Coturnix japonica: one gene and its partners. The protein of the gene in region 3 interacts with the protein of the main gene of each other region in a pairwise test. Links are inferred from orthologs where the notes say so. Each region holds a gene or a part of one and is shown on either strand. Other genes may lie near its edges.

The links.
Region 1: the proteins of cilia- and flagella-associated protein 206 (region 3) and C23H1orf94 interact in binary tests that used the Homo sapiens proteins (3 or more experiments, as listed by UniProt). The two-hybrid records come from large-scale screens. The link is inferred for Coturnix japonica from reciprocal best matches to the Homo sapiens genes CFAP206 and C1orf94.
Region 2: the proteins of cilia- and flagella-associated protein 206 (region 3) and TFIP11 interact in binary tests that used the Homo sapiens proteins (3 or more experiments, as listed by UniProt). The two-hybrid records come from large-scale screens. The link is inferred for Coturnix japonica from reciprocal best matches to the Homo sapiens genes CFAP206 and TFIP11.
Region 4: the proteins of cilia- and flagella-associated protein 206 (region 3) and SOX30 interact in binary tests that used the Homo sapiens proteins (3 or more experiments, as listed by UniProt). The two-hybrid records come from large-scale screens. The link is inferred for Coturnix japonica from reciprocal best matches to the Homo sapiens genes CFAP206 and SOX30.

Annotation. Positions count from the first base shown.
Region 1 is NC_029538.1:4,085,343-4,092,871, forward strand, and holds the start of C23H1orf94 (uncharacterized protein C1orf94 homolog), read right to left. Parts: upstream 4,020-7,529; 5' UTR 3,934-4,019; coding exon 3,701-3,933; intron 1,403-3,700; coding exon 933-1,402; intron 604-932; coding exon 434-603; intron 1-433. Other genes in the region: CSMD2 (CUB and sushi domain-containing protein 2), read left to right, coding at 6,634-6,790.
Region 2 is NC_029530.1:6,265,975-6,273,506, forward strand, and holds the start of TFIP11 (tuftelin-interacting protein 11), read right to left. Parts: upstream 4,044-7,532; 5' UTR 3,952-4,043; coding exon 3,755-3,951; intron 3,011-3,754; coding exon 3,007-3,010; intron 896-3,006; coding exon 739-895; intron 570-738; coding exon 442-569; intron 1-441. Other genes in the region: TPST2 (protein-tyrosine sulfotransferase 2), read right to left, coding at 5,635-5,664, 6,543-6,593. UniProt on the Homo sapiens protein: Involved in pre-mRNA splicing, specifically in spliceosome disassembly during late-stage splicing events. Intron turnover seems to proceed through reactions in two lariat-intron associated complexes termed Intron Large (IL) and Intron Small (IS).
Region 3 is NC_029518.1:69,677,198-69,684,917, reverse strand, and holds the start of cilia- and flagella-associated protein 206, read left to right. Parts: upstream 1-3,061; 5' UTR 3,062-3,635; intron 3,636-3,760; exon of another isoform or gene 3,761-3,932; intron 3,933-5,250; 5' UTR 5,251-5,346; coding exon 5,347-5,494; intron 5,495-7,584; coding exon 7,585-7,679; intron 7,680-7,720. Other genes in the region: SMIM8 (small integral membrane protein 8), read left to right, coding at 1,556-1,675, 2,610-2,768. UniProt on the Homo sapiens protein: Essential for sperm motility and is involved in the regulation of the beating frequency of motile cilia on the epithelial cells of the respiratory tract. Required for the establishment of radial spokes in sperm flagella.
Region 4 is NC_029528.1:13,024,967-13,032,568, reverse strand, and holds the start of SOX30 (transcription factor SOX-30), read right to left. Parts: upstream 4,063-7,602; 5' UTR 4,042-4,062; coding exon 3,411-4,041; intron 2,314-3,410; coding exon 2,074-2,313; intron 963-2,073; coding exon 783-962; intron 31-782; coding exon 1-30. Other genes in the region: THG1L (probable tRNA(His) guanylyltransferase), read left to right, coding at 4,227-4,447, 5,448-5,624, 6,045-6,214, 6,602-6,690, 6,978-7,085, 7,565-7,602. UniProt on the Homo sapiens protein: Acts both as a transcriptional activator and a repressor. Binds to the DNA sequence 5'-ACAAT-3' and shows a preference for guanine residues surrounding this core motif. Binds to its own promoter and activates its own transcription.

The DNA of each region.
Region 1 (7,529 bases), on a different chromosome or scaffold from region 3:
ATGGCTTTTTCACTTTGATTTGAGGTCCTGTTTCGCCAGGCAAAGAAAGCAAGCAGCATCCTGTTGTGCAAACAGAGCCACCGAGTGAAATATCCTTAATGAATTATTAGCTCAAAATATTTGTAATACAGGATAAATATTTGTAAATGCAACATAAACATGGAAACTAATGAATGCCAAGAGAGGTCAGCATTCAGTATATGTCAATAGAACATCATCCTTTGATCACTAACATCTCAGAGGACTGCATTACATTGGATGTTAACACTGATGGCGAACCAGTGTGATCAGTCATTGTAGGACAGCAGCCTGGTTTCTTTTAGGCTCTACCCTACAAATCAGAAAGCAGTTCTCATAGCAGAGGTAGTTGCTGCCCTGAGCTTGTCAGTATGGGCCTGGAAATGTTCTAAAATGTGGGTTTATTCAATCTTACCTGAAAGGGTGGGTAGTTTGGCTGGTTTGGATATAGAGGAAGTGGAGGGAAGCTCAGACTCGGCCACATTGGCTGGTTTAAGTTTGTGGTGGTTGTAGTAACGGGAAAGTGTGGATTGGAAGTGCTGGCATTGTATATAACTATTTTTTTATCCAGTGCTGCAGTAGTTACTGTAAAACAAAACAAGGGTGAAGATAATTAAGCATTCCCTTCATTAAACCATGAAGCACTTGCAGCTAAGGGGATGCACTCCCTGTGAGCAAAGTGTTTAAGATGCTTTTGCAGGCTGTATTTCTGGAGACCCATGCTTAGAAATGAGCAGATCAGATTCACATGTAAGGCCATTAAACCCCAACCCACAGGACCTGGAATGAAGTTAATCTCCTGAGCTGTAAGAATGACTGGAATGGGGCAAAAGATTCTTGTTTTGAGCTCTGTAAGAACAAAACTATCTGAGACCAGGAAATTAGCACAGAAGAAACTGTGTCCTGATCCATACCTGGATTCTGCAGTGCCTTTGTGGCTGCATTGGAGTCAGGTCTGGAGCAAATCTTGGCAAGTGTTGGGAGCTGCTGCTTCTGTCCTGCAGTTTGACTTTCTGCCATCAGAGCTGGCACAGCTGTGCTATTCTTTGCAGCACTGACAGTGCCATTCTGGAAGAACTCTTTCATTGTCTTGCTTTCCTCAGCCATGAGTTGCCTGTCTGGACCTTTGGCAATATCTGTGTGCTTCAGCAGCAATGGCATCCCCAGCTTGTTGCCCTCTGTGCTACCAGCACCTGTTGTGCTGTTGTCCCCCAACCCCTTGGAGATCCTGGGAGAGCTTGTTGAACGCAGGAGGTTGGTGATGGTGGATTTAGCAGAAAGCTGAGCATCGCAGAGAGCTCTTAATTTCATCTCTCTTTCTCTGTTTCCAATCACTGCTCTGTATATGCTCTCAAGTCCCTCTGTTTCATCTAGCAACCAGTCCCTGTAAGAATGTGAAATATAGGGATTCTGTTGAGAGCTTGACATTAGATTGAACTCATTTTCTTGACTGCTTCTATGCCTTGCATTTCTGTTTCATTTATGCTCCGTTTAAGCCTCGAGTATTCCTTCTCAACCGGAATGAAACCTACCTCCAGGACACTGTTCTTCTCCAAAGAACCACATAAAATGGGAAAATTAAAACAAAATCTGAACTTAACACACCTATTTGGGAATAACTGAAGTTGGGTGATGGCGTTTCAGACTGGAAGCCATGAAGTCCTCTAGGACTTACAGTGGGGTGGCTGCCAGGGCTGAACAATGCTGTGTCTCTAAGGCACAACTCAGTGTTTGTAGTGGTTCCCTACTCAAAATCCTCCTTTAAATTCCACGTTGCTCTTTCACAGCCAGGTATGTTCAATAACTTAACGTATCATCCATTTACTCTCCTCAGCTTGAGGGGAAGTGATGCTCTGTGCATGCACTGTACAGATACATATATAGTACATAAATGGATTGCTAATATTAGTGAAATCTGGATAGTTAAATGTAGCTAATTATCTCTAATCATAGGATCACCATAATTGGCAGGATGCTGCTTTATCTCCCTATTTTTAAAGAACAGATACCTTAAAATCCTCAACAAACCTATACTATGGGCATAAAAATAGAAAATTGCTGTCATTTCCAAAGAAAGCTTATTTTCTACAATGCTTTATCCCATCTTTCACTGGGATTCCTCTCTCCATTGGTGGTTGCAGCCACCTCCGAGGCTGGAGGTGGACACCTGACCTCACCTGTAGGGATTTTAAGGAAGTTCCCTTGAATTCTGTACAGCGATTTGGTTTCATTGCTTCAGGTTTGGTATTTTTGGAAGGTTCATTGACTCAGGGGGGTGTCTTTGAATAGCTGGTGAGCAATGAACTGCACTGTGTGAGTGTATGCTGAGGGCACTTCTTTGCTGAAGAGCCTGTTTGCTGAATGCAGGGAAATGCTGCTGGCAGAAAGGGTCAGAGCAGCTGCCCAAAGTAACTCAAAGATCAGCAGGAGAACAATGAATCATTTCTCTGACCCTGAGGAAGGTGCTTTAGCCACTGCGCTTTGCTGGCTGTTTAATTTCATCTTAGTTGGAGGTGTTGAGTTTGTTACAGGTCCTTGCTGGTTGTCCCAAATCGTTCTTATCTGCTTCCTCAACCCCATTACAGTGGCGTGAGGGTGGGCTGCAGGGTGGGCTGCTCTCACTGCATTAGATTAATTGCTAAAAACTGAACCTATATATTTCTAATGGTGGCTTTGCTTATGTCGTTTAATAGTTCACAGTGGTTTATACCTTATCTCTTTGCTTGGACTTCCAAGCAGCTGGCATGACCAAGTTACGTGGCTGAGCTTGTGCTAATTGTCAAGATGTTTCAGCAGCATAAGTTGACCTGCTGCTGTAGGCCAGTGCAAGTCCATTGGCTTCACTGGTTATTCTTGGGTTGTTTGGTTTCACTTTGTGCATTTATTCTAGGCCAGTTATTACTGTTATTGTTATGGATATGGAAGGGAAAGGAAAGGAGTCAGGGCTCCAAGATGTACTCCCTGGGTTTCACAGTGACACAGCATAGGGCATTTCCCCTTCTGATCCTCCACGTCTTCAGCTAAAAGCATCGAATTATCAGCTTTCTCAATCTGTGATGTTAGTCTTAAAAGATACGACAGCTGTTTTTCACTGTATCAGGCAAGATGTGTGACTTAGGCTTTAAGAAGTGGACACGAGCTAATAACTTGCTGATTGATAGCTGGACATGTAAATTTCACTCTTTTTCTACTTCAGGAGCATACAGTAAATATTATCCCATTAATCTGAAGAGCATCCTTCCCTCCCTTATCACCATTTGTCCCGCAGAACATGATTTGGCATAATTTTTTCTGTGCTAAATTCAGCTTCTCTTTGTAAAGATCAGCTGTTTACAGTAGCTTCCTTATAACACTTTAATTTTCGATTTTGTTCCTTTTGAATGCTGCTTTCACTTCTTCCTGTAAATATTTTGATGTGTGTGTAGTTGTTTTGCTTTAAATGTTGTGGGGAAGCAAAAGCAGCAGCTGCTTGTGGTGCTTCAGATTTTCAAGTAGCTGGCTTTCATGGGACAAGCTCTCCCAAAAAGACTGGTTATATTGGGACAAATGGGGATACTCTGTCCCATTAAGAGGCTGCCCAAAGCCAACACAGCACCCCTGTGCTCCAGCTCTCTGTTTCTAGGGGTTATGAGGGCTCTGTTGGAGTCAAGCCCCTTGTCCTGCAGTGCTGGTGGTCACTCACCCGCTGTGGGCACCGTTCTTGCTCCATGGGGGTCCCTGTGGGTCCATGCAGATGATGGGCTGAAGCTCCTCGGGGGGGCTCTGCATCCGTTTCCAGATCTCATGGCAGGCCTTGTCCAGCCCGTCTTGGGGCGTGTTGTCGTGGATCCAGATGTGCCGTGGGTATGGCCCCAGTGGGAACGGCCCCTCTGATTTCACTGCTGGGGCTGCAAACCCATTTATGCTGGTGAGCATCCTTCAGCCTCTATGCATCCAGGCTATCTTCTTGAGTGGTGTTTTGTTTACATGGCAAACGGAAAGAAGAGCCGTGGCAACCACGGAACGCCAGGTCCTGGCAGTTGATAACTGAAATATCTGCTTGTCCTTGGCACAGCTGGGAGCTTCCCCTCTCATAAACTAGATCCCTGTCTTTCCAGGGTCAGCATTCAGCTGTCCTGCCCCCTTCTTTCTGTACTGGAGCTTTGCCTCTTCCATTTAATGCGCAGGTGATGAAGCTCCAAAGAGCGCATGGCTCTGCTCACTCATGCCTCTGCCCAGATAAATGTTATTTTCTCCCTACCAATAGTGATGATATGGTTAAGAAAGAGTAAAATGTGGTAGTTAGTAAGATGTTTTGCATTCCTATGCTGGATGACTAGTGGTGAAACTCTCTCAATTCCTGGCATAATTCCCTAAGTGTGAATGGTTCTGTGGTTCCTCATTCATCACCAAGGGTTGTGTTTGTGATCTTCATTGGGGGGAAGAGAGAAAGGAGAGTCCAAGGGACATGGGTTGGGGTTTGTGCCTGGTATTGGCATTTGTTCTATGTGCCCTTGCCAAGCTCTCGGGTTCTCAAAGTTCACTGTTTGGGCAGGGAGGAGAGATGAGTTGCAGTGATAGATGTTGGCTATGGTGATGGATTCTACGTTCATCACACTGCATTTAGCAAATAAATACTTTTTATTCTTAAAGAGAGAGTAAGCTTTCGTTGCTAGGTGTGGGGCCACGCTTAGTTGGGAGCCCTTCATTTGCAATAGGTATGGCGTTATTGCCCAGGAATAAAGTGGGACTGTGTCTCCTCAATGACTCGATTATGCTGGCTGCTTGCTCCCGGTGCGGGGCTCCAGACCTTGGCTCGGCTGTGCTCTGCTGTGTGCAGCAACCCAGTTGCATCTCCGGCTACAGCCTGGGGGTTGGGGGCCGAGGTGGATGGCTGTGTAAGGGAGAAGCGATGTATAGAGCTGTCAAGTGTGGTACCCTGTTCTGTGATCCTTTTCGATTTGGATCCGTGCCTTTGAACAATAAGGTCTATTTGAATAGGACACTGCAGTTTAAGCAGACATAAAGCAACTCTTTCATGTAACAGCGCTGGTTGCCTTGGCTCTTGGCATTGGCTCACAGTGTAGGCAGTGGAAGGATTCAAATGCAGAGGGGACACAGGGAAAAGGGAGCGAGAGAGAGGCTGGATCCGAGGGCGGAGGGGCAGATTTGCGAGCCCTCGATATCATTTGTTTTTAAGCTGTCAAATAAGCTCATTCAGGGCAACCGGAACGAGCCCCAAGAAGGGGGTTTTGCAGCAAAGCAACTGCAGCAAAAGCAGGGCGGGGGTTGGGGGCGGCCCCGAGCCGGGCTCGGCTGCTTCGCCCTGCTCCGTGTCGGGGGGAGATGGGGAGGATGCGAGTCTCGGTGCTGCGGGATGGGGCTGCTGCTGGCCGAGGGGTGGTCGTTGGGCAGTTGGTTGCTGGGAATTTTGGGGGGGCGGGGGGAAACGAACGACTTCTCAGGGTGTTTTTTTTTCCTTTCTGTTAAGCTGTAGTGTCACGTAGTTGTTGTTTTTCTTGTCCGCGGATCTGCGCATCATCGCCACGATAATTAAGTTCCTCACTGTATCTTTTAAAGACCGCATTTTTTTCCTCCCCCCCGTATCTTGCATGCAGCCGTAGGGACAAATGGGCTAACAGACGCTTAAAAAACAACCAACAAGGTGGGGGTTAGAGGAGGATGCTGCTCTCAGCCCGGTCCTGGGGGGGTTATGGGGGGGCTGGCTCAGCCCGTTCCATTGCCCAGGACAGGTCAGAGCCTGGGGCTGGTCCCTTTTATGTTCCGCATTTACCCAATTTTGCTTCATCACCAAAATCGTGTCAATATCATCAAGTTGTTTACCGGGGGGGGGGCTGTGCTGCTTCCCAGCTGATGTCTTTGTAGCGGAGATGCTCTATGTGTGTCCGTGGGCAAAATGGGGGGGGCTGCCACGCCAGAAACCTGTGGCGTGCATTAAAAAACAAATGCCTAAACATGCTAAAGCGTAATTTGCGGCTTGCTGGTGGTGCTGGGGCGGGGGCTGGTGGGAGGATTGCGTTGGGTCCAAGGAAGCAGAAACGAGGCAGATCTGCTCGCTGTTTGCACGGCAGCCCCTCATGGCATCGTCCGAGCCCCCTCCCAGCATTTAGAGAAAGAGGTGAAGGAAGATACAGGAGCGATTAATCAAGTGGCTAATAAAAAAAGTATAAATCCCCGGGGGCTGCGCGCCGCTGATGCCGGAGAGCTGGCTCGGAGACAGGCACCGGGAGGGACGAGCCAGCCCTCCTCTCTTCGCCTCTCCTCTCCCCGAGCTGCTGCCACACTTGGTTCATTCCAGCTGCAGAAGCTCAGAGCCTTCCATGCGGTGGGATTTTATTTTATTTTATTTTATTTTTTCCCTGGGCTGAGAAAGGAAAAATAAATAGTTAAAAAAATAACCAAGAAATCGCAAGCCTGACCTGCTTTTTTTTTTTGTTGTTGGTTTTATTTATTTATTTATTTATTACCCCCCCCCCTCACCCCCCCACCCTTCTTGCTTTTCTCCTCTTCTTCCAGCCGAGCCGAGGACTATCCCAATCGCAAAGGGGGAGAAAAAAGGGGGAAAATCCACCAGCAGCCAACCCCCAACACGCCCCATTCCTGCCGTCCTTTGACATGCAACCTTCCTTGGGATGGGACCGGCCGGGATGCAGCTGCAGCCTCGGAAGGAATTGGGGAAAATTGGGGATCTTGGCTCTGATGACGGTGGAAGTGAGCTCCTGGAGCCGGGTGCTGCTGCTCTCCGTGGGGCTGCTGGCTGCCTCCACCAACGGTGAGTGTATTGGGGAAGGCTGGTAACTTTGGGGCATCTCCCTGCTTGATGCTTATAGCCTGGGACTGCTCTTCATCCTCTTTCCAGGGGTCTCTAGTGTGTGTCTATGTGTGTGCTTGTATGTCAGCACACGCTTTCCCGTAGTGTTGAATGAGTGTTGGGTTTTCTTTAGATAAGATTGTTGCACCCAGAGGCTGGATGGAGAGAAACTGTCTTAAATGATGTAATACCACACAGAACCTTGGAGTATTTCTCCTTCTCTGACGGGTCAAATAATTAGCACACGGTTGCTGTATGATACACGAGATGACTGTGAGAAATGCCATTGCTTTCCCCCTTGCATCTTAATTCATTATATCAGTACCCACAGCGTTTGACCATAGCTGATAAAATAGCTTTGCGCTCCTTGAATGAAAATGGAAGCACTTTCCTCCTATTCCCCCATTGCATTTGAACTTGGTGTGCTCTTACAGACGAGCTCCTTAGCCCTCAACACAGTGATTTTAGTGAGAAATGCATGTATTGACTTGGAAAGAGGGAGACTTCCATTTGGGGGCCGTGTGCGGACGTCGCCTCCCCGGTTTCTGCAGCTGACCTTGTAGCAAAAGCACATATAGGGGCTGAAGTTTATTTCTGGTGCAAACAGTAAATATTTAGGGACTGTCCTTGTGTCTGTGGGAGGGGGAAGAGTGGGAGAGCTGTGCTTGGCAGCCTTCTCTCATCACTGCTGTGCCCTGGT
Region 2 (7,532 bases), on a different chromosome or scaffold from region 3:
CTGTTCTCAATGCTTCAAATTTGCCTGTTTTCTATGGAAAAACAATCAGTGGAGAACGCTATACAGCAGAACAAAAGGGAAAGTGACACAGCAGAGCAAAAACTGGCTCAAATGCCATGGTCCAATAAAAAAGCCTTTTCTCAACACTACCACAACCAGAATGTTTCTGATCTTTCTTCTTTTTACACAAAAGACAAATTACTTATCTGGGGGAAACTGAGGATGGGATTCTAGCAATGCTACAGGAATAATATGAGGCAGAACCAACATAAAGGATGTTACATTGACAAGAAAATATGTTTAAATGAAATTCATGTTCTGTGTTTTTAGTTTCTTACTTAAAATGAGATTTATTTCCTCTCATACAAAAGCTGATTAGATCTGAATCTTGTTTGCACAATACAATAGGGTAAACGGGTGTACCAGGGATCACACAAATACCTCTTCAGCTTCTTCTTCCGAGTCAACAACAGGGAAGTCTTGCAAAGACTGGCTGGTTCTTTCAGAGCCATATGCTCCCACAGCTCCTTTGCCTTTTCTTTGCTTGGCCTCAATTGGGTTAATAATACCTAACAAGAGATCAGTTAGATCAGAAGGAAGAAATTCAAACGAGAAAGAGCACTTGGCAAGAGAAGCAAGAATTTACATAGAAGCCACTTCAAGATGCCAGTTCTTCAATGCAGTTTCTTCTTCAAATTATTAGTTATTAATAAACAACCAAATACAGGATCATGGTACCTTGAGAATTCTTTCCAAGACCTCTTCCAGGGACATAACCCATCTTCTGGAGAAGTTTCTGCCCAATTCCCTTTGTATGTCTCTCCCAGCTGCCAAAATCCATGAAAGATTTTGTGCCCCCTACAAAACCTTTCTGACTGGGCTTGAAATTTCCACCCTGTAAGAGCAAAAAACACAAACAAGTTTTAAGGTGCTGTAATAACAAAGCTCTGTGGAACTTCACTCTGTCACAAGGTACTTCTGCAAAGCAATTCAGCTGTCAACACACTGCATCCTGTTTCTCCAGCTCCCTATGTCAGAAAGCCACTTTTGTGCCCATGGGAGCTCCCTGTTGTTTAAAAACTTTCCAAATTAGATGCCAGTTTTTAGGCTCTGTCAGGGACTTCACTGAAGCTGCTTCCTAATTGTTTTTGTGCTTGACAACTGGAAACAGACCCACAATGGAGTGACGTTCCCAGGGGTACACAGCAGTACATCAGGATATCCATGAAAATAAAAACACAACCCTCAAATTCATGCCATAACCCACGTGCTACATCAGTGTTAATTGGTTCTCCCTTTAGAATCATAGAATTACCCAGGTTGGAAAAGACCTTGAAGATCATCAAGTCCAACCGCAGCCTAACCAGATGCCCTAACTCTAAAAACCCTTTACTGACCTAATCATATCCTGAGGCACCACATCCAAACGGCTCTTAAACACAACCAAGCCTTGCGGCAATATCAGGAACCTAACACCTTGGAGCCTATTCAGCACCATAACCCTAATTCTGTAAAAGGGAAGTATACTATACTAATCCACACTAAACTTGCCCACATCTGGCGACAAATGAAGGCACATTTCTTTCAGAATAGCTCTGTTTATACCGCAAGAACCTCAGAAATTATCCTCTTAGAGCTCACGACAAACAGATCATAGTATCCACTATCTACAACAGAAATTCACTACAAGAATGACTCCAGAGTGAGGACCGTCGGCAGACCTCAAGGAATCACCCCCACCTGCCATAGCAGGGCCACCAAAACAATAACACAACTTACATAGATCAGGTAATGCCCAGTGGGACCCCGCTTTACCACCTGCCTTGGAAACACTACTAAAGACGGGCGCATCCACAACCTCCCTGGGCAGCCTTTTCCAGGGCCTCAACCACTCTTACCTAGCTTAAAGAACTTCCCCCTAACATCCCAACTGCTAATACTTCCTCTTTTAACTTAAAGACCTAATTTCCCCGTAGTCCTGCTATTGATCAGCCCTTCCAAGAGCTGTTACTCCCTTTCTGGGCAGAATAATGTTCCCTTCAGATATTGGTGAAAGGCTGCAATGAGGTCACCCCGCAAACCTATCTCTTCTCCAGGCTGAAACAAAGCACCAACTCGCCTCAGTATTCCCTCTGCGCTCACTCACTGTTTTTTCAACTGTCTTCGGCAACTATTTCCCATTTTAGGGATTTTTCCTCCATGGCTACTAAATGGGGCTTCTCATCTTCATCAGTAGATTCCCTTCCACACACCGAGACTCGCTCAAGCCCGCGCTCTCCGCCGGCTTCATTGAAGTTTCACCGCGGTGGGGACTCGGTCAACCACAATCTCCAGCCACTTATCGAGGGAGCGGTTACCTGTTTATCATTCCTCCGTATAGTGTAGAGACTGAACCAAAACCTAAGACCTGTCGAGTTCTTCAAACGATGCTTTCCATTGACCTCTCGAAGACATAACATCGGTATTCCTCCTCCTTGGTGAAGATTGAGCTGAGCAACGTGTTTTACCTGTGTCGCGCATATTGATAACACTAGGTTCTCAGGCGAAAGATAAAGGATTTGTGGGAACCACTAACTCCACTTCGAGCTGGTATAACCACGAAATTGTAGGCGTTATCTGATAACAGCTAGCTCATTTTCGATCGGTAAATCTCCAATTTATAGCCATCTTGGTGCTGTTAATAAGTTTTACCTGTATAGTAGTAAAGTGCTCTATGTGCTTGTTTACAAACGTAATAACTACTACGGATTCCTATCCTCACTTAAGCTGTACAGCAAAGGCAATACGAGCGTTTGTGAGACATAAGGGTAGAGAACGGAGTCATATATGTAATTTGAGACCCTTAAGAATCTAGAGGTAAAAGGCCTGCTATGTATAAAGAAAAGGGGGAATTGTAAGAGTGAGCAAGAGCCACCAAAATGGATGGTAAAGGTAACACTCTTGCATAGAATAGAAAGGGGAACTTTCACAGAAACCAAGACAAAGGGTAAACTGTAGATAGTGTACCATTCTAAAAGGGCAGGGAAAAGGGGAATTACAGACACTTAGTCGAAAAGAAAAACCAGAGAAGAGGCGGCAATAAGATAAGAAGTGTAAAGATTAGATACCCCCGGGCAAGGATGATCGCTGACATGGGAGAACGATACCAGCAGATAACACCAAGTAAGAAAAAAAAACAGGCAAGAATTTCACCCCAAAAACAACGGCCAAGGGTCACAGAATCACAGAATGACCCGGGTTTGGAGGGACCTGCAAGGTTCATGGGAGTTCCAACCCCCTGCCTGGCAGGGCCCACCAAACATACACCTTTTACTAGATCAGGTTGCCCAGGGCCCCGTCCAAACCTGCGTCTGAACACCTCAAGGACGGGGCATCCCACAACCTCCTGGGCAGCCTGTCCAGGCTACCACTCTCCTTAGTGAAGAACTTCGCCCCTAAACATCCAACCTGAAAATCTTCCTCTTTCAACTTAAAACCATTTCCCCCGTGTCCTGCTATTAAGGGGCGGGTCAGTTGGAATGGGTCAGGGGGAATGAAGGAATGGGTTGCGGGGAACGGGGAGTCATAGGGAACGTAATGAATATGTAATCAGAACTGGAGAGAGGAGACTATCTGATTATGTATTAGCTTAACCTATATCTATAACACACTTTATTATTACCCCACTATACCCCACAACCCAACCCCCTGCTGCCCTGACGCCCTTTGGGCCTATGTGACCATCCCCCATAGCCCGGCCCGGTCCATCCCGCACCGCTTGCCGCCGAAGCTGGGCCTCTCATCGTCCGAATCCCGCTCGGCCCACACGCCATAGGTGGCCTCCTCCTTGGTCTGCCGGTGGCGATGCCGGTGTGGGTTGAATTCGTTCTGAAGGTCCCAATCCGACACTTCGAAGTTCTCCATTTCCACTCCATCCTCCCCGTCCGTGCCGTATAAGTGTGACATCGACATGATGGATCCGAGCGACGACCCGGCCCCGCTCCAACCTACCGCTCTTTATGGCGGCGGGACGGAACCGAACCTCATCACTTCCGGCGACGGAAAAATACGTCACTTTAACCATGCCCTAACCATAGAGATGCTGGCTAGAAGGAACGCGCCCCTCTAGGCCCCCTGTCGAGTGAGCAGCTCCTCGGGAGGTATCCCGAGAGGCAGCTCTGTGACATTAAATCACTTCTCTAGTCATGAGAAACGAATCACAGAATGACCCGGGTTGGAAGGGGACCCTCAGAGGATCATGTAGTTCCAAAGCCCCCCTGGCCTGGCAGGGCCACCCAAAAATTACACCTTTACTAGTCAGGTTGCCCCAGGAGACCCATACGACCACCCATAAGATCGCCCATAGAGACCCATAGAATCCCGCATAGAGACCCCATAGATCCCCATAGATCAGCGTTAGCCCAGGCACGTTCCAACCTGCCTTGGAACACCTCCAAGGACGGGGCATCCACAACCCTCCCTGGGCAGCCTGTTCCTAGGGTTCAACCACTCTCCCTAGTGAAGAAGCTTCCCCCCAAACAATCGCAACGCTAAATCTTCCCTCTTTTTAACTGGTAAAACCATTTCCCCGTGTCCTGCTATTGTCAGCCCTTTCCAAGAGTTTACTCGAATGAGTGCAGCCAGGAGTGAAACGATTGACCTCATATATTAATTCTTAAATAGAATCTGTCAATGACAAGTGAACGGAAGAGACAGTCCGCCGCATTGTCACCTGTACAACAAATGCTCTATACACGGTTATGACACCTATTCTGATCTGCACGTATAAGGAACAGCATTACGAGACACTGAAAATAACAGGAAATCTCTTTTCCAATGCACTTTGGAGGGTCGGTCGTGCTTCATTTCCACAGATCTTTCACCACGGAGCATCCAGCGAAGGGAGACGAGTGGTATCGAAGTGTACAACGTTTGGCCTTTGCAAATAAATGCAAATACATTCCTGGCACAGCAGTCATTTTGGCAATATCAGCAAGCAATATGCTTGGATAACAGATCTCCATCGGTGCAACTGCAAACTCTTCTTTACGGAGCCACCCTGGGCCGTTTGCAGCAGCCTGCAAGGGAAGAAACAGTCTGAGCAGTCAGGAAGTCCCAACAGCCAACTTGAAAACCACTGTGAGACAGCAATTGTTGGATGCTGAGCTCCAACCCCTGCGTGATGGGCAACAGCACCTGTTTGTACTCAGAGCCTTTGACACACAAACAGCTGCTGCAGAAATCAAGGAGAGCTGTTCTGTTCTCCCAAGCTGGCAGCAAACACCACCACCCCCTTGTGAAATGCACACAGGGCACATCCCCCCTTCTGCTGGGGCTCAACACACATACACGACCCCACTCCTGCCCTCTCCACACCCGGTAATAACACCCCCAAGTGGCTGGTTGTGATTTTGCTGGATTAATCCTGTTTCCAGAGCTCAGAAAAGGAAGAGATTTGACAAACTGTCTCCCATTGCTCTGAAAACCTAAAGCAACTGTGAAGGAGATCATTGACATAATGAATGTGCCTAGAGCAGCCCAGGCAATCCACAAGCATAGGAAATAGTAGAAGCACAATGCTCATCTTGTAGCAATTCCAGGCAGGTTTGTGTGGCTCCCGAATTAAAGTACAAGGTCTTACCTGGAAATCATTAATTAGTGAGAAGATGATGTGTTCTGAGTCACCTAGAATAACCAAGATATAGAAGGATCAGTTTGAAGTCGCTACCTGCAATTCAAAGCATTCCCAGGGTGTTCCCAGGAGCAAGAAAAAGGGAAATGAGCAGGACAAAAAGTGGTACAACAACAGAGAACAGGCAGCCAAGAGACCTCGCCACGAGTCTCTCACTTCCTTACTGCATGTGCAGCCACTCAGCAACTGCTGACACCTCCTGCAGGGAGCACACGTGTGTCTTTGATGCACTAGCAGCCTCGTTTCCTCATTCTGGGATTTGACTATGCATGTTTTCACATGCTGGCAATGCAGACCAATCTGTTAGGAGTCCTTATGTTGAACAGGTAAAACCAGACACCTTTGATGAAAACACTGGTGATAACCAACACTCATCTACTGTATTTCTTATTCAGGCAGGTGGCTCTATCTGAAGAGCCAATAAAATAATGTTTAAGTCCGTATAGATGATGGCTGTTTGACTGCTCTGTGTTGTAAAAGATGGTAATCCCTTGCTTTCCAACACTGCTCTTTAGGAAAGGACACACTAACTGTATTTTTGACACCTGAGCGTGATCACAAGCACTAGAAACAGAAGATCTATCTGTAACTTGAAGTCAGGTAAGCCACCCTCCCCTAAACAGCCTGCAAGTGTCAGTAAAAGGGAGCAGGGGGCCAGGCACCCAGATGTGGTAGATATCACATCTGAGTGATATATATGGGGGAACACCCAAGGTCAGGGGACAGGACCCTGAGCACTGATGGAGCTGTGCTGTCCATGTTCATTGTAGGGCAGTGGGAGCAGATGGCCTTTAAAGGTTCCATCCCACTCAGATGATTCAATGAATAACCACACAGGGCGAAGCACTCAGACATGGCATCAAACTCTTACCTGCAGATGGCCTTTCAAGTTGGCTGGCGTTTTATAATCCCCCTTTAAAACCTATGGAAAAAAAGAAGAATAGTGACCCCTTCTTGGACAATGACTGTACAAACATCAGCAAGTGTACACTGTTAACTGCAGCATATGTTCCAGGACTGGTGAGCCAGCAGGGACCTGAGGAGCAGCTGTTCTAGTTCAAGCTGGGATTCTGGACAACAGCAGGAGGTCTCTCCCTTAGTGACTGTTCACCCAAATCATTTGTGTCCTGAAATGGCTCAGCAAGCACAGAGAGAAAGGAAGAACTGCAAGAGCCCAGAACATACAGACTGTGACTGGCTCCAGGGGAGCTCCTCTGACCTGCCAGGTTTGTGCTACAGCTCTCCACTCTGCAAAGACAACAGGGAACAGCATTCTCTGCTTCCAGAAGCGAAGCAAAGGACGCTGTGTCCAAGGGCACTGTCACGGGGAGTGCACACAAGGAATCTGATCTCAGTTTGGGGAGAACTGGTCCAACCCAAAGCATGACAAATCCCCTCTGTCCGGTAAATGCTGCCTGTGGCTCTGCAGCCTCAGAGACATGAGTCAATATTCTAAAAAAAAAGAAAAAAAAGATTCTTCTGGTTTAGCCCAAATGCATTACAAGCATCCACTCACATTCCTCATGGGACAGCGGGAGTGGCTGGTGAGCTGCACACAGACTCAGCACTGCTTAAGATTCTCCTGAGGTCAGACTGGAGTTTCTAGTGCCAATAACAGCCAGATAACATCACAACCAGTAACTCCCATGTCTGGGTTAAAGAGTGGGGCTGGTCAGGGAGGGAGGGACAGGTCAGGATCTGCCACAACAGAAGAAATGAACACTGCCACAAAATCACAGGGAGCAGAATCAATCTGAGCCACAAGAGGTTCAAACTACTGTACGGTAACTCTGGAAATCATCTCGGTGGAACTGAACACCCATCATTCACAGCTTCCCAGAAGGAAACAAGCTTTTGTTTC
Region 3 (7,720 bases):
GATGCAAAGCTTGAATTCACTGTGTCAGGGGAGGGTCTGGTGGGGGTTAGGGAAAGGTTCTGCACCAGAGGGCAGTGGGTATGGAACAGGCTGTGCAGTGGGCTGGGGGATTCTTCTGTCTCTTCAAGACAAAGCTGTTAACAAGCGTTTTAAAAGGCGTGTGTAGCATAATGCTATGAAAGACAAAAGGTTTGCTTTAACAGATTTTCATTTGTAACATATTCACTGCCTTAAAGCTACTTTGGATCACCAGCAGTAGTGTCCTAACAACGGCTGCTGGCTGAAAACTGCTCTCTTTCAACCAGATGGATGCGAATGTGTGCTAGCAGCTGAGAAGTGGCATAAGGACCCTTGAGACCTTCATGAGTGGAGCTGCAAACACACAGACAGCTCTCAGCAGCACCTCTGTCTTGCAGGAGACCTGTTTATTTCTTCATCTGCATTTATTTCCTCAACATGGCCATCCTGCTCCACATGCAAAAAGATTTCCTCCTGCGATCTGCGACCGCGTGCATCTCAAATAGGGAGAAGCTTATCGGTAGCTTGAGGCGTCCTATCCTCATCTTGAAGACAGCGCGAAGCTCTCCCTTTGTGCGGTGCTTGAAAGGAGCAGGAGCTGTGAGGTGAATCAGCAAAGATGCAGCGGCACGCTGCTGCTCCCGGCGCTGCATTAGGTTGGTTTATTGCATGCCAACAGCGTCTGCGGGTTACGCTATCACATTTGTTCTGCTCCCCGCTGAGACTCTTCCGTGGCTCGAACAATGAGGCGATGTGAGTCCCACGAGAAGCAGGAGCTGCTATTAAGTCCTGAATAGTCACAGAGTGCAGCATGATACTGAATGCAAAATCCCAAATGAATTCATATAAAAGGAAAATAAATCTCAGTGACGGGCCTGGGCTTCAAACAGGGAGATTTGTGCGTGTGTGTGTTTACTTTTCCGGAGGTAAACTGGGTACAGTATAACTTCTTTCAATTCCACAAGCACCCAAACAAACGAAAGCAGCAATCTACACTCAGAAGCAGCCTTTTTTTCCCTACTCAATGGTACACACCATCAGCTGTGCAGCATATGCTGCCACAACAATAGCTCGGAGACCAGCAGATGGTGCCCGGCCCTCCCCCAGGAGGGGCTCCTCCTCCTTAACTCCTCCCCCTCCTCGGCGGCCTCCGGCCACGAGGGGGCACCATTGCTGAGCAGCGTCTCGCCCCTCCTCCTTCCCCTCCCCTGGTGGGGTGGGTTTCTTTTTCAGGCGGTGGTGGGAGAAGCGTTTCCCTACAGTCAGTATAAATACAGGCACACGTCAGCAATATGAGCGCCTTGAACAGTGCTTTAGGATGCAAAATCTGACTGAAAGTTAATCAGATTTGATTGAAAGTCAGCGTGCTTCAGCTGGAGATGTTAAGTCAGTCAGTAGTGCGTGCACTGAGTGAAGGCTGTGTTGGATAAAAGCTGAACGCGTGCACTGTGAATGTAGTTCTTTCAGTTCATTTTTCATATATATATATATATATATATTTAATTTTGTTTTTGGGAAGTGTTCACCATCAGCTGAAATGTCTGCCAGCAAAACTCCGAGTGAAATTGAAACACCCGGTGAGAGAAACCCAGGACTGAGAGGTGCCCGAACGACAACTCTGTTCCGAGCTGTGAACCCGGAGCTGTTCATTAAACCCGTAAGAGGCTCTTGCTGAGAGAAACTAAATATGTTTGGAGGCACGTTTGCTTTAAAGAAATAATGGCAGGTTTTTCTTTCATATTTGAAACGGTCCAAATCATAAAATACAAGCTTAGCACTCAGAATGCATTGTAAAAATACCTCAAAAGTTAATATAAAAGTATTATAAAAAGAGGCAATATTCATCTATTTCTCATGTGGGGTGTTTTTGGTTTTTTAACTTAATGACAGATGGTGACATGGCAGAGCACTTTAAAAAGGCTTGTGTAAGGGATAGCAATGTGATTTAAGGGTATTGGCCAATATTCTTTGCTACAGCATTTGCTGTTATAATTAAATTGATGGTGCTCTGCCTTTATTTACACTTGCATAATCCAGTGGTGTCAGTAAGATGAGATGAAACCTTGTGGACATAATAAAGGTAGATTTTGCGGGGATGATATGTGATCATAGAATCATAGAATTACCCAGGTTGAAAAAGACCTCAAAGATCATCAAGTCCAACCTCAGCCTAACCATAGTACCCTAACTCTAAAATCCCTCTGCTAAATGATATCCCTGAGCACCACATCCAAACAGCTCTTAAACACATCCAGGGATGGCAATTCAACCACCTCCCTGGGGAGCCTATTCCAGTGCTCAAACAGCATTTGTGACCTATGAAAGACACAGGCCAGTGCCTCTGGGAATTGAGAGACCTCTTTCTTATGGAGAATTTATTTTGTTTCCAGAAAATCGTGTCTCCCTTCTTGCAGTTTATCATAAAAGTCACCTAAGTCGGTCTAAAGGAAAAGCAACACTGAGTTCTTCATATATGGCAATAGTTTACTCTTTGCTTTGTAAGCTAAGGTTGAAGAATGTGATGTTTGTGATGAATGAAGAGTATCTTGACTAAAAATACATACTGTTTTTTGTTGGTTTTTTTTTGTCAGAACAAACCTGTGATGGCATTTGGACTCGTAGCAATTACCCTCTGCGTGGCCTACCTTGGTTATTTGCATGCTACGGTAGAGAATAAAAAGGATCTCTACGAAGCTGTTGACAGTGAGGGGTCCAAATATATGAGGAGAAAAACTTCCAAGTGGGACTGACGACAAGTCAGCCACAGAACATCTCAAGGTTGAAAAGAGCTGTTTTTCCTCTGTCCATTAAAATGGTGGTTGAATCTCTCTTGTGCCTTTTAATCCAGTATAAGTTCCATTATAAAATACCATGGCTGTACAAATGAATTGTAACTTAGATACATGCAGACATAAAATTGATTTTAAGGATTGTTGTCTGTGATCTCCATAGTATGTCTAGACTGGTAAATGCCTCAGAAATTCATGTGGCTCAACTCATTTTCCTCTTTGCTTTTGCTAAATGAAAACAGGGAGTTTTTTAAACTGGAGTACGCAGTGCACTGTGTGGAAAGAAAACATTGGTCTCCTGATCTTTTGAAAGTTGATCAATACAGGGTTGCAGGTAAAAGTAACTTTAAGGTGGGATCTAATGAAGATCTTTATCAGATGGTGCCCTGTGGGAGTGGCTGGGGGGAAGTAATTGTGATGTTTCCTTAGTGCAGGAGGTGGGCCCACAAAAGCCTTCCTGCTCTTCTTTGCCTTGAGGGAGCTGTGCAGGTGGGTACTGCCCTGTTCCAGCACTGAGGCCTGCTACATCTGCGTCTGACACTTGTGGCAGGACAGAATGTGTGGTGGGTGCTGCATACCAGTCTGGGGCTTATTTCTACTTCAAACCTTTGCTACTGATCTGGTTGCTTTTTTTTCCCCCCCATTCAGCTCCTCATATTTACACTGTCTTCAAGGGCACCCAAGAAGTTGAGAGACCTCCCTGTAGCCGTCTTCTGGCCAAAGTGGATTCTGTTGGGCCAAGAAGGAAAGTGACATGTGAAGGGCATCTGCTTTGCTACTCTGGGATTTGCTTCTGGGAAAAAAAGTATTATTGAAGGTAGCAAAAAGGTAACAGACTACCTTGAGGGATAGCAGAATCACTATGGGATTTCTCTGTATCTCCATCTAAATCCTTTCTTCTGAACATGTGATTTTTCTCCTGTCCAAGTTTTCTAAGTGTATGCTACGTTCAGCTGGACTTTGGTTTAGCTGCTCCCATATGAGAAGTGAAGTGAGCTATAGAAAAGCTTCAGAAAGCCTTTAAAGTGTATTCCCCTTTGACAGCCTACGGCAGGGCCTCAGAGCAAATCCAAAAGCATGCAGAAAGGAGATGGCTTGCCTCTTGGTTGGTGAAAGAATTATTAGGTAAGTTGAATACTCTGAACCTTCAGATGCTCTGCGTATCCTGTAGAATGTGTTTTTTAAGGAGGTGGTGGGTTATTAGAATTAGTCCTACAAGAAGGGCTACGCAGGATGGTAGCCATTAACATGTGTGAGTCTGGTATGTGTGCAGGAACTTAACTGAATGATTGCAAAATGCCACAAAAAAAGGCCTTTGACCAGCTTTTCTCTAAGCTTTTTAAATACACAATTTGATCCTTCTACATGCAGATGATTCAAAGTGAGGAAGCCCAATCTCATTTTCACATATTTTGGGAAAAATGTGGGATTTGAATTCTTAAATTTTGACCTACATTTTGTGGGCTGAGTGTGGATCTAGAAGTTGTGGGTTGGAAGGAAGTGAAGAAGGAAGTGAAGTTTGATAGTGCCCAGACTGGAGGAGGAGTGAATGTTGAGACTTGTTCTTATTTTTAAGTACCATCTCCGTATTTATTTGCATGTAAGTGACTTCCTTGATGTCACTTACATTATGACACATAAATAGGAGATGAAGCAATGCAAATGTACTAAATTAATGGTCACTATGGTATTAATACTGGCGTTTGCTGTTTTAGTTCCCTGATTCATACACACAACAGTGATGTGTGAATTGGGACTTAGGCAAAAAAATACACCCAAGGAGAACTACATGAGCAGTAAAATTTGTTCAGGTTGAAAGCAAAGCACTGCTCCCTTTGTGCATCTGGAGGATAAGCAAACAGCACCGAGACAGCCTCTTTTGCCCTGTTTCCCTCAATTTCATTTTCAGTACAGTAATAAATATTTACAAGGGATGATAGCTGACTTGACAGGAACTGAGTCAGAATGGTCTCCCGTGCAGAGGCTTTTTCAGCTCCTTGCCTGTCCCATATCTTCTGTGCTGACTTCCCCATCTTTACCAATAGCAGTGACAAAATGCTATGATTCGGACATCTGAAGCAGCAGCTATTGTTCTGCTCCTAAAATCTCCTCTGAGAACACGGTTTGAATGGGAATTATTGACATCCAGCAACAAAAAGCTGCGCTACAAAGCCAAAGCCTGCTGGGCTGCTGCTGAACTATTACCAGGCAAGCTCTGTGAGCACAGAGTCCCACCTGGTAACAGTTGCTATGTGGGGGGCTGTACCAGGGCTGGAAGGGGTCACTTCACACAAACCTCCCTCATCTGCCTGCATCTTCTGTGCGTTGCTGAGCTGACAGCATGTGAATCTCAATCTGAAGGCAAGCATTTCCAGTAACTGGGTAGAAAACAAGTCAGTGGCTTCCCACTCATCCCTGGCTTGCATGCTTTTTTTTTTTGTAGCAACAATAAAGAGTTGGCCTGCAAGCAAGACATCTATCCAGGGTAGAGTTCTGGCAGTTCAGTGACCGTATTGCAAAAAAGCACTAGCACACCACAATGATTAGAAGCCCAGATTTGGATTCCTTCGTTTGCTGCTCTGTATGTTCCAAAATAATACCACCGCCGCCTTCTAAAGCTACTTTTGATCGGATTCGGGAGTATAAACCTTTCAGGACACGCTATTACACTCATCATGATATACTGGGTGAGTTTGTTTCTGAAAGCCTTGTCTCATACTCTGAGAATTAGGAAAACTCAAAGTGCTTCTCTGTCCAGGACTCATGTAGGCTGTCTGGGTGAGAAAACTGCAGCAACCTTCTGAATGCACTTAAATCCTGCGTATTCAGAGGGAGGCAGGGTCAGCTGTCCTGTGGTGCATGAAGGCATTTGGATTTGTGCACAATGAAGTGTGCAGCAGAATTAGATGCAAGTCTTAGCAAATGCTTTCTAAAGCTCATTTGGCTGACATTTGCAAAGATCATTCTCTCATTCTACAGATAGGCTGCTGCATCCTGAATCCCACCTTCTCATACCTGAGTCTGGTTGTTGACCATCACTTGAGCCAAGTTCAAACCTTATTTCAGTCAAAACCGATTTTTCCATCCGTATTGATAGAATTATAAACAAAAGGAGTCTTTTGTCCTGCTATTTTAGCAGAGTTGTCATCCTAAATCTCAATATTATGTCTGTGTTACACATAGCACAACTTAAACATGATCACAGGTTTAAAAAGAAGCATTATCGCTACATAAGCTGAGCTTAGCATCTGACAAACGGCTCCAAAGAATGATATGGCATGCTGATAGGAACGCTCTCCAAAGCTGAGGGTTGGTTTTTCTGGCACAGCAGAACTGTAACCTCAAAGATGAAGGAAAACATATGGTTGCATTCCTATGTGTGAGGATCTAACACAAGCCTGAAGCGTATTTGTAAGCTATGCCTAATTATCATAGGGGTTTCTGATCAGTGGTATAAAGTTTTGTAGAAATTGCACCGTGAATTTTAATTAACACATGTTTCAATGGGAGTGTGTTTGGTTTCTCTCTTAAACAAGCAGGAGATTGCCAGTGTGCTGAGAGGAATGGGGTGAATGCTGGGTATTTCTCAGGAGGCAAAGCCTTTGCCCTGCGTTGACAATGTAAAACACATCCAGAAAGCTCTAGGAAGTCTTTTTAAGTTATTTTCTTGTTACTGCTTAGTATAATGAACTGGGGAAAAGCCAAGCAGCCAGGGCACAATGTGCTTCTTGCTGAGATTTCTACATTGTTGGACTTAGGTTTAGTTTGCTAATTTAGATCAGCTGACCCCTTGTCTCATTCTTCTACTCTTTTCCATGTACTTTATGTTAGCTCCGTGGAAGGACTCTGCCCACCCATAAAGTGGATGGGGAAGGTTGGAGCGAAAGAGGGAGATTCAGCCCTGCACTGGCTGTTTGAAAGCTTGAATCCTCAGGTCCTTTTTTGTTTTCTTAATAACTTAGGGTAAGAATATGTGACTCTTCAGCGCTGTCAAGCATGGAGAATGGGATCCAAGGCAATGCTTAGGCAAGACACTCAGTAGGAAAGGGGGAGGATCAGAAGTTCCCTTTTTTGAGATGGGGTTTTGCATTGCAGGAAGTTAACTTTATCCACCTCTCTTCAGCGTCTTGTCCTCTTCTGGGCAATCCTTGGTGCTGAAGGTCAGCCTGAACAAGCAGGGCTGTCTGCTTGCTTTTATCACCAGGAGAAGATGGTGGTGCTAATACCTTATTTAGAACCCCCACTGTGTGTTACCCTAAGGGAGTAACCCCCATCCTACTCTTGACACAGTGGCATGGTTCAATTCTTGTTGCTCCACTCCTTCTTTCCAGAAGGCCTTCCTTGGGTCCAGCAGCGCCAAAGGCAGAGGAGTTTTTCTGTGTGTGCTCTGTGCCAAGTACCTAAAGAATGTCCACCAGGCCATTATTTCTCGTGTGCTCCAAGAGCAGCATGAAGGCATCTGAGCATCTTCCTCAGCTTTGGAATGTTAAAAAGTGTGCCTTCAGAAAGAGGATTTAATTATTCTTAAGTTCTGAGCCAAGACTGTATCCTAATTCCATAAGGCCTTTCTTTAGAGACCAACTTGTATTATTACATCTGTGGAACCTCATAAGCTATCATATGATTACCTACATGTATATGAAATTAAACTGCATGGGTTTTAGGCTTTTAGTACTTAACTTAGCTGTAGAACCAAAGAAAGCAGTGAGAGGAGAAGGCAGAGTTTTCAGCATTCTGGTTATTTGCTGTGTGTGATCCCCTTTTGTTGGTTGTACAGAGATTGGAGCAAGCATTCAACAAGAGGAGCGTGAAAAGAAGGAAGCAGAGATACAAGACCGCATTGAAAAAATGAAAGCCGAGCTTTGGTCTCAGGTAAGTTAAATTACACTACAGTCACTTAAACAATGTTGATT
Region 4 (7,602 bases), on a different chromosome or scaffold from region 3:
CTGGCAGCCGGGTGGCAGAAGGAGCTTCACCTTTAGGAAAGAAAGCAATTATTTATCAGACACAAGGAGATTTCATAAATAATGACATAGCAAACCACATCTGAAGCCAGAACCATTTCCTCCAAAACACATTATAGCATTGCTTCCCTGCAACTCACAGTCACGTGCCAACTGGCCTATGTGTGTCTGACATGGTTTTGGAGTCCATAATCTTAACCTTCCTTCAACAAAACAAAACAAGACAAAAAACAAGGGAGCACTGCAGACAATTCTGCCTCCTTGTGTGCAGCATAAGTTGCTGAGCCCTAGAATAGTGGTGCTCTGCTAGCAAAGAGCACTAACATTGGAGTGGAGGTAATAAGCTAATAAACTTTTCCAGGCTTAATAGAGCAGGTTTGAATGCTGAGTGCAGTGAGATCTGGTGTGGAAAGATATGGGTGAGGGAGACAGAACAGGGAAATGAAATTATTATAGCTCTTCAGGAGGCAAGTGTTGAGTAACAGACAACCAGAGAGACCCAGGAGGTACCAGGAACTACAAAGACAATAGGAGCATCTGTGGAGGATGAAGAGGGGGACAAAATTAAAGAGCAGCTATGTGTGAGGAAGCAGTAGGTAGAGACTAGGAGGCAGAGGTTCAATGCAGAGGAGAACTGAAAGAAATAACAGTGTCCAGGCAGACTGAGAAATCATTTGTTAAATATATCTACACTAGTGGATGTATTACAGCTGCTATAATAGGTAAATTCCTGATTTTTAAAACCATTCACTACTGCAACTCACAGACTGGATGTCCAATATTTTTCTGAATATTGTGCATGGCAGCAGGGAATGCAGGCGATGGAAAGGGATAAACAGCAACTGGATTTGTAGTGATGATATTCTGGGTGGTGCTGGAAAATACAGCAGAGACAGCCAGTGGATAACGCTTCCTCTTGCCTGGTCGTGGCTGATAAACCCAACCTGTAAGAGATGAAAAAAATGTAGATACATCATTTATAGAATGGTCCCTCTGTTAATTTCTCTCTCTCTCTCTCTTTCTCTTTATAACCTATGGCAACTTCAATTCTGAAATACCTTAAGAAAAAATAAGAAAAAAAGTCAAAGAGTTCTCAAAATGCTCCAATGGCAAAACTGCATTTCTGTCAGTGAGGCAGTAAATGGGGTGTTTTATCAGAGACGGAAAGAAAATGGACACATTTGGACATTGTGTTTGCGTTACTGAACTGTAACTGTTAGACAAAGAAATACAGAAGGGTAGGGAGTGACATGGCACAGCTACACAAAGCATGTTTAGGAGAACATGACACTGTATTGTGGGCTTCCCAGTCATGAAGAAAATCATGACTATATTAAAAATCTGGGTCTTTTCTGATTTCTTCTTCAACCCCTTAAACTTCTTATGTATCTGCAGGCTACGAGAGACAATGGAAAATACGATCCAATAGGAATCCCATATAGATTTTGGCAATAAAAAGTATGTTTGCCTCTGACATATACCATTAACTAAACACTAGCAGACTTTAAATAAACTGTGAACTTACACTAAGCAGCCCAGGAGAGAGAGAGAGCATGCACTGCTTTCATGACCAGTCAAGCCTGGTCTAGCCATTGTGAGTTAGAAGGATTATGGCATCACAAAGGATTGTGACACCTGATAACAGCTTTCAGGAAGAACTTATGCTCTGTTTTGTTAGTATCCTATTAACTGAACTGCAGCGTTGTGGATAAACAGACTTGTTAGTGGATAAACAGACTTGTTAGTGGATAAACAGACTTGTTAAGGGTTTTGGAGTGATGTTCACAACAACCAGAAGAGCTGTGGTGGTCTGAGAATGTAGGAACACAATTAAGAGGCAGTAAAGGATGCATATAATTTTTGGATGCTTAATAATATGTTTTCACATGCACTGGAAGGCTGATAGAAGGACTGAGTGCTTGAAATTTGTGCCATGTTTTCTAACTCTTCTATGTGTTCTAATGAAATAAATCCTTTTTGTGGTTTTTTGGTTTTTTCCTCCTGTAAATTGTGCACTATTAGAACATTGAGGTAAATCAATAAATACGTGTTTACCAGGAAATTCCTCTCTGTGCCTTTGTTTTATTTTCCGAGCTTCATCGTAATAGGGCTGTTTCTGCTCTTCAGTCAGTTTGCTCCACTCCAACCCCAGCTGAACACTGATTTCTGCATTATTGGCATTGGGGTTGGCTTTAGCCAGGGCAGGTCGGTGAATCCTAGCCCACACCATGAACGCATTCATCGGACGCTTTACATGGCCAGTTTTGTCCTTGCTGAATGGAGTATCTGGCATACCTGTGCAACAAAGTGCAGAAAGATCATCTTCCAGGCAATACATGGAAGCACAGATTACACCAAAAGGCTTTTCAGAATCACTAGAGCTTCAGAATACACAAAATTCATCGCACGTGCAGACAGTAATTCCTAGAAATCTAATCAAGGCTCTACTAACCGAACCACTGTATAAAGGAATCGTGCATGGCTTTTGTTGTTTATTCTCTTCTTAAAAATATGAAACACACGTGACTGCTGAGACAGTTTGGATTTCACTCGACTAGACCATTTCCTGTAGCTTGTTTATAAGTTGAACTCAGTATGGCATAGACCATATCACTGCAAGTCTGTCATCTCCCACAGAACTATGTATCCAAAAGCCCTAATGATAACACTGGTATAGCACTTTGGTCCCTCTACTGTGCAGTCTCTGGATTCTCTGCTGAGGCTGCTGCTGTGCTGGGGTTCTTAGATGGGTTTTTCCCCTCAGATATGAGCATTCATTTGCTGGAGGAATCTGTTTTACCAACTGACTGTTACATGACACCCAGCTTTACATCTCTGTAAACACAGACTGCATTTGGATTGAACTGGTGACATCATGAACAGCCAGATCCCTCACAGCTGATCCCTCAGCAAAAGGCTTAGAGGTGAACTGTTCCATATTATCAATAAAGGGAGGTTTCCTTATCTTTAGAACTTCGTTTTAAGTCATGCATTTTAAAAGCCTAAAACCTATACATTTGAAAAGCCTTTTTCTTTCCAGAACAAGCAAGCTTCTAACCCAGGTACTACAAAAAGTTTATTGCTTAACATGTCCTGGGAGGTGTATGAATGCTCCATTTTAAAGTCAAGCAGACATCTAAACTGCAACCTGCAATCAAAATTCAGTGTGATTCCAATTATAAAGGGGTTCAGTAGAGGCAGAGAGCAAACAAACTGTACTGATCCCAATAAACCAATAGAGAACTCTGTGCTCCTGTAGCTCACACATCACCCTGAATTAGACACAGTGTATCCAGATGGTTCTCTAATGCTGCCTTTGCTCTCCTCCCTATAACCCGTCGGCTGTGTGTACCTTACCACAACCCTGACTACTTGGCTTCTTAACATAATACCTGAATCGGAGGGCAGTACAGTGAGGGGCACGTTTTTAGTTTCAATTTTTACAGACGGCTCCAGCAGGGATTGCATTTTAAGAGGCACTTGGCTCACAGGTCCCTTAGACACCTGGATCAGCTTTGGCAGCAAAGGGCCTTGCACTTGTATACGGGCACCAGGAGGCAAAGGCCGAAGCACCAGGGGGATCTTCAGGTCTTCAGGGAGGACCCCCAGCCCTTCTTTGGGCTGTGCCATGCCGCCATCACTGCTGATGTGTGCGGGTCCACACGAGGCCCTTCCTGCAGCACCGTCCTCATCCACATCCACCTTCACTCCTGCACATGGCTCCTTCACGCCGCCCCTGATCTCCACCACCACCACATCTTCCTGCTCTTCTCCGCCACATTTTTCTCCATCCTCTTTTACACAGATCGCCTTCTCTTTCCCCCCCCATCCAACTGGGGAACACCTGAGCTCCCCTCCTTCTTCCTTGCTGCCATCAGGACAGGCGGTGCAGCCTCCATCCAGCTGCTGGACCTCTTTAGCTTTAACTCTCTTCTCCTGATCCTCCTCACCGCCTGAGGGACCCTGTGAGCAGACATGGAGCTCAGAACCCCCTCCATAGCCGCCGCCCCCGCCCCGCTCCATGACGCCACTGCCGTTTGCCTCCTGCGGTTGGTCCCCAACGCTCGCAGCGCCCTCGCGCCGCCGTCACCTACGAGAGCAGCTTCAACGCTCCGTTGGGCTCCTCCCACCACCAAACAATGCGGTCGCATGGAGACCAGCAGCCGGGTTCCATAGAGGGAGTCCTCCCAAGCGTCTAGAAAGGCTCAATGCCTCGCCCTCCATGCTGTATTTCCGCCTCCGCTCCGGCCATGCTGTGTTGTTTAAGGGCGGCTGTTGGTGTCTCTGTGGGAGCCGGGGTGGGGTGTGTGCGAGGTCGGGTCTCTATGGCGAAAAGCAAGTTCGAATATGTGAGGGATTTTGAGACGGACGACACTTGTCTGCCCAACTGCTGGATTGTGGTACGGCTGGACGGCCGCAATTTCCACAGGTGAAATGGGTGGGCAGCCAATGGGTGGGGGGCTTGGAGTGGGATGAGATGGGATGGGATGGGATGGGGTGGAGTGGTATGGTATGGTATGCTGTGCTATGGTGTGGTATGGGATGAGATGGGGTGGTATGGGATGGTATGGAGTGGTATGGGATGGGGTGGTATGGGATGGGGATGGGATGGGTATGCTATGGTGTGGGATGGTATGGGGTGCTGTGGTATGGGATGGTATGGTGTGGTATGGGATGGTATGGTGTGGTATGGGGTGGTATGGTGTGGTATGGGATGGTATGGTGTGGTATGGGATGGTATGATGTGGTATGGGGTGGTATGGGATGGTGTGGTATGGGTATGGTATAGGGTGGTATGCTATGCTATGGTATGGGATGTTATGGGGTGGGATGGGATGGTATGGGGTGGGATGGTATGGTATGGTGTGGTATGATATGGGATGGGATGGTGTATGGATATGATATGGGATGGGATGGTGTATGGATATGGTATGGGGTGGTATGGTGTGCTGTGGTATGCTATGGTGTGGTATGGGGTGGTATGCTATGGTATGGGGTGGTATGGTATTGTATGGGTATGGTATGGGGTGATATGGTACGGTATGGTATGCTACAGTATGGGATGGGATGGGGTGGTGTGGTATGGGGTGGTATGCTATGGTATGGTATGGCCTGGTATGGCATGGTATGGTATGGGGTAGTATGGTATGGTGTGGGGTGGTATGGTATGGGTATGGTATGGTATGGTATGATATGGTATGGTATGGGGTGAGGTCTGATCATGGACCAACATAGGAGGCATTACTTTAGGATCAGCTCTTATGTAAAACCAGGTTTTTGTTACCATTTTTCATACCTGCAAGGAATTCTCTGTTAGTATTGGCTGGATATTGTAAATATTTTAAAAGCTAAACACAATGCAAATGAACCCATTCACTTCTCTGAGCTGCCTTATACAGGATTCTTATTCTATCTCTTTTGCTTTGCAGGTTTGCTGAGCAACACGAGTTCAAAAAGCCCAATGATGACCGCGCTCTTCATCTGATGACCAGATGTGCCCAGACCGTGATGCAGGAGTTGGAGGATATTGCTATTGCTTATGGACAGAGCGATGAATACAGCTTTGTTTTCAAAAAGAAGAGTAAATGGTTTAAAAGAAGAGCGAGGTAACACCTGCTTTGGTATGAAAGTGAACTAATACCTGTCTCTAAACCTGTGCCTCAGCCCTCATCTTCAGGTTTGCCTTTATCTGAACACAGAGGCTACAAGGTGGGCTGTATTTGGAGATACACAGTATACCTAATTCTAGTTCTTAATGTGAACTCTGCAAGCAGTGTTTCCATAGCATTCAGTTATATGGAGCTCTAGGTAGTTCTGGTAAAACAGGGCTTCCTTTAACAAAGTGTTTTGCTTTCCAAACTCATGTATTTGATTTATAAAAGATTATGCCATTGCTGAACTGTTGGACCGTTACATAAGAAATAATGCTGCCCACCAGAATTATTCCTATTGATACATCGTGGTTATAGGTGCATATAGTCGTATTGATGTCTGCCTTTCTTTTCCCTTTGTTTTGTGTTTCCAAGTAAGTTCATGACTCACGTGGTCTCCCAGTTTGCCTCGAGTTACGTTTTCTATTGGAAGGATTACTTTAAGGACCAACAACTTCTGTACCCACCTGGATTTGATGGACGAATTGTGCTGTATCCCAGCAACCAAAACTTAAAGGACTATCTCAGCTGGAGACAAGCAGATTGTAAGCATTACTAGAAAATGGGGTCTTGTGCAGTTGAGTTCTCATCCTCTCTGAATAGAAATGTCTTTATTGCTGTTGTGTTTGTATGTGGAACTTGTCAATTTCATTTCTAGGTCTCCATTCACATGCAGCCCTTGTTCAAACTGAGATAAGGTCATACAAAAACTCCTTCTCCCTCTGCTCTTTGTTTTCAGATGTAAAATTAATCTGTCTTCCAGTTATTAACAATTTGCAGTGCATTTAAAAATGAATGTATCTTCTCTGCCAAATGATATTATTTATTCTTAGAAGGTTTTTGTTATGATACTGGGAATTAAGTTGCTGTCTATTTTTTTGAGTATTCAGTCATTTTGGTAAATACTTTTTTTCTTCTTTTTTTTCCCATAGGCCATATTAATAACCTTTATAACACGGTGTTTTGGATGCTTGTACAGCGGAGTGGTTTGACACCAGTGCAAGCACAGGACAGACTCCAGGTAAGAGTGTCTCAAAGTTATGTTCTAGGTACAAAGACAATCATCTGGTCTGCTAAATTGTGCCTTGCCTTCTCTCTGTTTTTAATATCCCCATTTGGCAGTTGAAAACAACTCCTCTGCTGGGGAAAAGCAATTACACCTTGTAGTTTAAAGATGAAAAACCTCTTTAAGTGCCATTATTGCTTCCTATATTTACCCATCTTCTGCAGATTCAGTTTGTTTGTGACCTTATTGGTTTGTTTCTGTCCTTTTCCATAAGAGTACCAGTTGTTTTCATTTTCTTGTAGGGAACTTTGGCTGGAGATAAGAATGAAATTTTATTTTCTGAGTTCAACATCAACTACAACAACGAGCCTTTGATGTATAGGAAAGGAACTGTCTTAATATGGCAGAAGGTAAAAACTTTATTACCATTTTCTTCATGGTCTTGTTGTTTGTTGGTTGTTTTCTTTATGTTTTGTTGCTGGTTGTTCCATTTAGTTTTCTCTTACTTCATTTTAAGCAAATAGAACAAGTAGAGGCTCTCACCTGGGAATATATTTCACTTGATCCTTATGCATTATTTTTCCTTACTGATTTTGGACATTTTGAGGTTTCCCATTTATTTCAAGTAGTTCTGGGTTAAATATTGTGCTTTATTCAAGCAATCAGTTACATGGAGTTGGAGGTAACTTCCTCAAGCTACATAATGATGTGCAGTTTCACCCATTCACGTGTCAGTTGTCAAGCAAAACAGACTTCTAAGTTTCTATGTTCAAATCATATAGTACGCTGTAGGGTTGATGGTCGCTTTTACTATAGCTTTTATTCTTGTCCATTTGTGAATCCCCTCTGAAATCTTATACATCAGCTAATGTATCGACTGTATTTTCAGGTGAACGAGGTAATGACCAAGAAAATCAAACTGCCAAA